Macaca mulatta: one gene and its partner. The protein of the gene in region 1 purifies or fractionates together with the protein of each later gene. This does not show direct contact. Links are inferred from orthologs where the notes say so. Each region holds a gene or a part of one and is shown on either strand. Other genes may lie near its edges.

The links. The genes of interacting proteins can lie anywhere in the genome.
Region 2: the proteins of DCAF7 (region 1) and PLK1 purify together in Homo sapiens (affinity purification with mass spectrometry; 3 studies listed by BioGRID and IntAct, with this or other methods). This does not show direct contact. The link is inferred for Macaca mulatta from reciprocal best matches to the Homo sapiens genes DCAF7 and PLK1.

What each region holds. Positions count from the first base shown.
Region 1 is NC_133421.1:73,348,671-73,352,857, forward strand, and holds the start of DCAF7 (DDB1- and CUL4-associated factor 7), read left to right. Parts: upstream 1-1,387; 5' UTR 1,388-1,620; coding exon 1,621-1,758; intron 1,759-4,187. UniProt on the Homo sapiens protein: Involved in craniofacial development. Acts upstream of the EDN1 pathway and is required for formation of the upper jaw equivalent, the palatoquadrate. The activity required for EDN1 pathway function differs between the first and second arches.
Region 2 is NC_133425.1:23,225,285-23,228,784, forward strand, and holds part of PLK1 (serine/threonine-protein kinase PLK1), read left to right. Parts: intron 1-636; coding exon 637-730; intron 731-2,468; coding exon 2,469-2,688; intron 2,689-3,500. UniProt on the Homo sapiens protein: Serine/threonine-protein kinase that performs several important functions throughout M phase of the cell cycle, including the regulation of centrosome maturation and spindle assembly, the removal of cohesins from chromosome arms, the inactivation of anaphase-promoting complex/cyclosome (APC/C) inhibitors, and the regulation of mitotic exit and cytokinesis.

The DNA.
Region 1 (4,187 bases):
TTGAGGTCAGGAGTTCGACACCAGCATGGTCAACATGGTGAAACCCTGTCTCTACTAAAAATACAAAAATTAGCTGGCCGTGGTGGTACACCCCTGTAATCCCAGCTACTCGGGAGGCTGAGGCAAGAGAATCACTTAAACCTGGGAGATGGAAAAATCATTTTCACTAAAAATTATATTTAGCGCCCAGAATGGTGGCTCAAGCCTGTAATCCCGGAACTTCTGGATGCTGATGTGGGAGGGTCGCTTGAGCCTAAGTTCGAGATCAGCCTGGGCAACATGGAGAGATCTCATCTCTACAAATAATTTAAAAATAGCTAGGTGTGGTGGCAAAAGTCTGTTGTTCCAGCTGCTCTGGAGGCTAAAGTGGAATCGTTTGAGCCTAGGCAGTCGAGGCTACAGTGAGCCCTTATCACACCAGTGCACTCCAGCCTGGGTGACAGGGCAAGACCCTGTCTTTAAAAAAAAAAAAAAAAAACTTTAATGTTATAATCCAACAATTCAATACAAACCTCCTTCAATTTTGATGAAAGCTAAGAATTGGAAACCATTTATATAAAGGTGTCACTTGGTCTCTGGCCCTTCTCCCTTTCAAACTCACAGGCACAGATACTTTTGGGGCTGGATTAGCATTTGCGTTGGGATGCACGGCGGGGAAGGTACAGGATGGGAACCGACAAAAACAGAGCCAAGCTGGTCAGGTCGGTGTCTACCCCAGAATTCGGGGACATTTCTAGATCCTGCAGGAAAGCGCGGGAGGACCTGACTCAAGCTGGCCTGGCCCTGAGCGCATCTGCGCCCCTGAAGCCTGGCCCTGAGGCCCGAAGACAGCAGCTTTCGGGTTAAAGGGGCCTTGGGAAGAGAAGGGGCAGGAAGGTGGTACCCGTTGCGCATAGGCCAGGCTGCCAGGCCGCGGGGCTCGGTCCCGCGAAAGTAGTAGGTCTTCCGCTAAAGCAGAATTGTACTTTTACTCGACAGCATGGAAAGGCCGCTCAGAACAGCAGCAGCAGAGGAGAAGTCAGCGCAGGTCACAGACAGTTTCACGCTCAGAGACTTGGCCTAGAACTTGGAGGCCCGCTACTCCAGCACGCTCGCCTCCCGGCCACCCACGCCCCCACCACCCGCACTGCGCCGTTATCTGCCTGACTGACATCTTGGTCAGCCAATGATCTTTGGGGCTGCCAAAGCTCCTGCCTCCGAGAGTTGGGCGGGGCGAGTAGTTGCAATGACAAACATTTAACCCAATAACGAGGAGATGTCACACGCTACGGCCGCAATAACCAATGAGAAGAAAGAATCCTTTCGAAAGGACGTGTCAGGCAACCAACGGCCGGTGGCGCTGCAGGGGTCCCGTGGCTTCCGTTCCGAGAGGGCGGGGCGGCGTCCCGAAACGGAAGGTGGTTGTCGTCGGTGCCCAAGCTGGTTTGAAACTAGGGGTCGGGTTCGGTCGTTGTCGTTGTTTGTCGCCGCATCCCCGCTTCCGGGGTAGGCCGTTCCTGCCCGCCCCCGCCCCTCCTCCCTTCGGACCCATAGATCTCAGGCCCGGCTCCCCGCCCGACTCGCACCCCGCCCGCCGCAGCCCACTGTTGACCCGGCCCGTACTGCGGCCCCGCCGCCACCATGTCCCTGCACGGCAAACGGAAGGAGATCTACAAGTATGAAGCGCCCTGGACGGTCTACGCGATGAACTGGAGTGTGCGGCCCGATAAGCGCTTTCGCTTGGCGCTGGGCAGCTTCGTGGAGGAGTACAACAACAAGGTGGGCCAGGCAGGGCCTCGGAACCCAGCTGGCGGGGAGCGGGCCCCGGGAGCGCCCTTTCCGGGCCGGAGCCCAGGCCCCAGAACCCTCCTGCGGACTCGCCTTAGGGCCATGGAGCGGTTCCAATGTCTGGCCCTGTGCTGAAGGTTTCGTACTCGTTGTCTGTCTCATTTAATCCCGGCAGCATTCTTGTGTAGTCGGCAGTGTAGTGGGGAAACTGAGTCACGGTTTTGTGACTTGCCTGGGTCAGGCAGCTATTTCGTGGTGGAAACAGGTCTTAAAACCGGGTTTACGCCCCAAAGATACTCCATTTATTCCTCCCGTGCTCTCCACTCCTGCCGCATTTTTTTCGTTGGTGGGCGGGGAAGGGAAGAGGGAGTGGTAGTTGTGAAGGAAAATGCAGACGCTTCTATTCGCGGTCGTGCACTCTTGGCCACACTAGATTTCTATTAAGACGATCTGTTGTACAAGCTTCCCCGCCCCCTACTCCCACACCCCGGGTGTGGATCCTAGCCCTTCTGCCAGAATTACTGTTGCTCTTGCTTCCTGATAACCATTCTCTCTAAAGCAATCTCTTTGGAAATCTTGGCCTGTGGCATGATCCCGCGGTTGTTTCCTGAACACAGGATGACAGGGCCTTATCTTTTGGCTTGTTTCATGCTAGTACAGTTGTGTGACCTTTAGTAGTAGATCTTGCTGGACATTCATCAATTTGAGAATCCTTTATAGAAGCACGGTGTCGTAGGGGAGCTTTTAAACTGGCATTGCAACATAAACTCATCTTTGAAAGCTGAATAAGTCAGTTGGAAGCATTTTCTTTGCTTTCTTCCTTTTACTCAATTAAAGTTGAATGATAGCGATCAGAGCAACTGAAAGCTGTGGCTAGTGATATTTAAAGCCACTACTGCCTTATGCCATGAGCATCAGATTTAAGAAGAGTAAAACTGGCTGGGCGCGGTGGTTCACGCCTGTAATCCCAGCACTTTGGGAGGCCGAGGCAGGCAGATTACCTGAGCTCAGGAGTTTGCGACCAGGCTGGGTAACAAGATGAAACGCTGTCTACTAAAATACAAAAAAAAAAAAAAAAAGAAGAAGAAGAAGAAAACTGTTCAGTGACAAGGCTCATGCAGGGGGGAAAAAGCCAGGTGGTCTAGGAGTGGGTCCTGTCTGGTTATTGACTAGCTGTGAGGTGTTGCACAGGCCTGTTTTATTATCTGTGACCCACAGTTTGCTGTAGGGAAGGGGTTCTGGTTTACATGTGAGGGTCTTGTAAAAAAGAAATTTGAATATTTTACAGTTTGTTTACAGTTTTTCAGGAGCACGTTTCTCTAGAGTAGGTCTTCTTTGGAGTCCTCTTTGAGAAGCTGATGAAAGCGATGGATTTTCATTGTCCAGACATTACACATACGTGAACATATTTACAAACAAATCCAAGCAATATGCACTGATCTTTAAGTTCACCCATTTCCCGGGCGAAATAGAGCTGTATTTCCTTTCCTCTGATGCTTCTTTCTTCCTTGTGGCCCATTGTGGACAGCTGAACTGGGAATGGGATTCAAGCTTCTGATGTGGACACCGTGTTAGTAAAATTAAGACCACTAGAACTATTGTTTAAGGATACACGTGGAAAATAAAAAAGTATGTCTTTCAAAGAGCTTAAGCTTAATTTTTCACACAAATTAATGTTTTTTTCCTGTGTGTTTTTCCAGTGTCACGGGGTAAACAATAGTTACTCCTATTCTCCAGAGAGGAGAAACTGAGCCACAGTTAGGCTGCTGGTAGAATCAATGGAGTAGTCAAACTGCTGTTGCAGGAACTCTACCCCAGTTTGTCCTTTCTTTTAGCAACTCTCTGGAGCTTCCTCTTTGTTCCAGGCACACAGGTAGCATGGCTTAGCAGCGAAATGCAAACTAATAACCCCACTATCAACAGCGTAAGCAGTTAGCTATATCTTAACTCACATGATGTAGGCAATGTGCTGTCTTAAAATCATTTTTGTGCCTCCACCTGTCAGTAGGTCAGGGTTCTTAAATTCTGTGTGCTATGATCATCTGATACCAATAGACCCCTTCTCATAGTTATGTTTTCAAATGCATAGAACACGTAGAATTACAAAAGAAACCACTTACGTTGCACTACAGATATAAACATGTTTTTAGAAGTGGTGATGTAGTCATATGTACTTTTAATAAATTAACATATTGATTTACACCATCCAGTGTAATTATTAATGTAATTTTGAAGTGGTGACAAGGGTAAACAGCATTTCAAGATGCTTAACTGCACCGTGGTGGGAAAAAATATTTCTCTTGCTGGTGAAGTCACAGATACTTATGCCACTGTGAGCACCTAACCCATTTGTAATTGAAGGAAATAAAACATATTTAGCTAGAGGTGAATGGAAATATGGGCGTGATTTTCCAATTCAA
Region 2 (3,500 bases), on another chromosome or scaffold:
CCCTTGGTAGTTCCCGTGCACAATAAGGTCTTAAACATTGATGAACATTAGCATGGTGGGGGAAATTAGGCCAGGAGTTACAGATGGAAGGATGACGTGCCAGTGGTCTGTCTGGATTGAGACCATCAGCAGCGGTTGGTGGCAGGCAGAGGCTTGGGCCTTTTCAGGTATTACCTTTCTTGTTTGGGGCCTAGGTACTGGAGAGTTAGAAATGAGTTGTAGCAGTGACTTTCATACATCTTCGCAGTGGGGTTTTTCCAAATGAAAACTTGAAGACTTAAGTACAGAATTGCTAAAGGTAGAGCTGCTTCTGTAAGTGCAGGTAGCCCTTTGACCTGTTTTGCATGACAGGCAGCCTCTGAGGCCCTTGCAGAGTCCTAGATGACCACAGGCCACAACTAAAAAATCACTGGCCCCTAAGAATCCTAGTCTCACCACGTGTATTCTGGTAAGGGCTCATTCTAGCCAATATTATGGCTCCTGGGGCTGCTCAGTGGACTTGGTTGTCTTCAGGGGCCCCAGAGTTACAGTGAGTGTCCAGAGGATGCCTGGTCTTTGTTCTGACCCTGAGATGATTTCTCTTATGTCTGGGTTGTGGCTGGGAGGCTGGTGCCAAATCCTACCTTGTGCTTACAGGTATACCTTGTTAGTGGGCAAACCACCTTTTGAGACTTCTTGCCTAAAAGAGACCTACCTCCGGATCAAGAAGAATGAATACAGTATTCCCAAGGTGACTAATGATGCTTTAACTTTACATTTATTTTGTTTTCCCCAAAAGCTGTTTATGGAACCCAGCAATATCCTAAGACCAGAAATAGGTCTATCCCACCTCTAGGATAGCCACAGAGCTTACGAGGGCCTGTGTCTGAAATTACATACAGAACTTGACATGTATGTGCACATAAGCATTTTTTCTAGGGGGAGAGAGTTGGCAGATTCTCAAGAGATTGGGTAGCCCAAAAGTTGCGTAAAAAGCAAAAAACAAAGGAGGTAGGAAGGAGTAGGAGGCTAAAGTGCTTAAGCTTTGGAAATGGATTATCTTAATTCAAATTGAGTCTGCCACTTAGCCAGATCACATTGGGCAAATGGCCTGCATCTTCTTTTTTTCTTTTTTTTCTTTTTTTTTTTTTTGAGGTGGAGTTTTACTCTTGTTCCCCAGTGCAGTGGCATGATCTCGACTCTCGACTCACTGCAACCTCCACCTCCCAGGTTCAAGCGATTCTCCTGCCTCAACCTCCCAAGTAACTGGGATTACAGGTACCCACCACCTTGCCTGGCTTTTTTTTTTTTTTTTTTTTTTTTTTTTGTATTTTTAGTAGAGATGGGGTTTCACCACGTTGGCCAGGATGGTCTCGAACTCCTGACCTCAGGTGATCCACCCGCCTCAGCCTCCCAGAGTGCTGGGATTACAGGCATGAGCCACCATGCCCAGCCTGGCCTGCATCTTCTGAACCATAGTTCTCGTCTATAAAGTGGAGTTCCTGCCTTGGAGCACCTCACAGAGTGCCTTACATGTAGTAAGTGCTCACAGAATTATGAATCACTGAATCCCAGGGCTTCCTAATGGCATAGTGGTGTGCAATTTCCTTTTTTTTTTTTTTTTTTTTTGAGACAGAGTCTCACTGTATCGCCCAAGCTGGAATGCAGTGATGCGATCTCGGCTCACTGCAAGTTCCCCCTCCTGGGTTCACACCATTCTCCCGCCTCAGCCTCCTGAGTAGCTGGGACTACAGGTGCCCGCCACCACACCCGGCTACTTTTTTTGTATTTTTAGTAGAAAGAGAGTTTCACTGTGTTAGCCAAGATGGTCTCAATCTCCTGACCCTGTGATCTGCCCGCCTCAGCCTCCCTAAGTGCTAGGATTACAGGCGTGAGCCACCACACCTGGCCATGGTGTGTATTTTCACAACCACCAACAGAAATGCATTTAAAGGAATAGCTGGTTCCTGCAGAAGCCTAGCACACAGCCAGTTTGAAGTGTAGTGTCCTTGTGTGAAGCCAAGAGGCCTGTCACCATAAGGACGGACATAGTAAATCCATCACAAAGTGTCAGTTCACTGTCAGAGACAGCATGGAATCAAGCCAACTAGACAAGGCCTTCACCCTCTCTGTGCCTCACTTTCCTCCTCTGCAAAAAAGGGATGATAATAGAGCCCCACCCCTTAGATGTATTAGTGAGGGCTAAGTGAGCTAAGTACAGGAGTGCTTAGAATGCTTTCCTGGCACATAGTAAGTGCCAGGAAAGTGAGTTGGTGCTAGGCCACAGTCCATTGACCCTTCTGTCAAAGGTGCTCAGTAAAGCCGACAGTGGAGAAGTTGGCATTGAACCAAGTTGTGAACCACTAACCTGGGGTGTATTTGAGACTGGGGACTGCGTGTGGTCTATTGGCCTGCAGCCCCTTTGAGGCCGTACTGTACTCCGGGTCCCCTTCACATTCTGCTTATGGCTGTCCCTCTCTCTGCCCTAGCACATCAACCCCGTGGCCGCCTCCCTCATCCAGAAGATGCTTCAGACAGATCCCACTGCCCGCCCAACCATTAATGAGCTGCTTAACGACGAGTTCTTTACTTCTGGCTATATCCCTGCCCGTCTCCCCATCACCTGCCTGACCATTCCACCGAGGTTTTCAATTGCTCCCAGCAGCCTGGACCCCAGCAACCGGAAGCCCCTCACAGTCCTCAATAAAGGTACAACAAGGGTCTGGGTAAGAGAGCAGACTCCCCAGAGAAAGCCCAGGTTGTAGGGGTGTGTGTGGCTTAGTCCCTGGCCCCAAGAGCTCAGGTTTGGTTTAGGACAGACCTCTGTCCTTAAATTCGTGATTCCCATGCCCATCTGCTCCTCGGCCTTGCCGGGAAAGACTGACCTTACCATGGCTGGATAAACCTGCTATGCTCAAGAAGAAGAAAATGGACTGAATACCAAGCCTAAAAAATTCTTTCCAATCACTTTAATTAATTAATTTAATTTTTTGGAGACAGGGTCTCTCCTCTATTTTCCAGGTTGGAGTGTAGAGGCACAATCACAGCTCACTGCAGCTTTCAACTCTAGGGTTCAATCAATCCTCCCATCTCAGCCTCCCAAGTAGTTGGGACTGTCAGGCATGAGCCACCATGCCTGGCTAATTTTTTTTTGTTTTTGTAGAGACAGTGTTTTGCCATGTTGCCTAGGCTGGTCTTGGAACTCCTGGGCTCAAGTGATCCTCCCACCTCCACCTCCCAAAGTGTTGGGATTACAGGCATGAGCTGCTACGCCTGGCCTTCTAACACTTTTTCATGATTCATTGAAAAACATAAAAATTTCCTTTTTTTTTTTTTTTTGAGACAGGTCTGGCTGTCTCCTAGGCTGGAGTGGAGTGGTGTGATCTTGGCTCACTGCAACTTCTGCCTCCCAGGCTCAAGTCATCCTCTCATCTCAGCTGAGACTACAGGCGTGTGCTGCCATGCCTGGCTAATTTTTTGTATTTTTTGTAGAGACAGATTCTCACTTTGTTGCCCAGGCT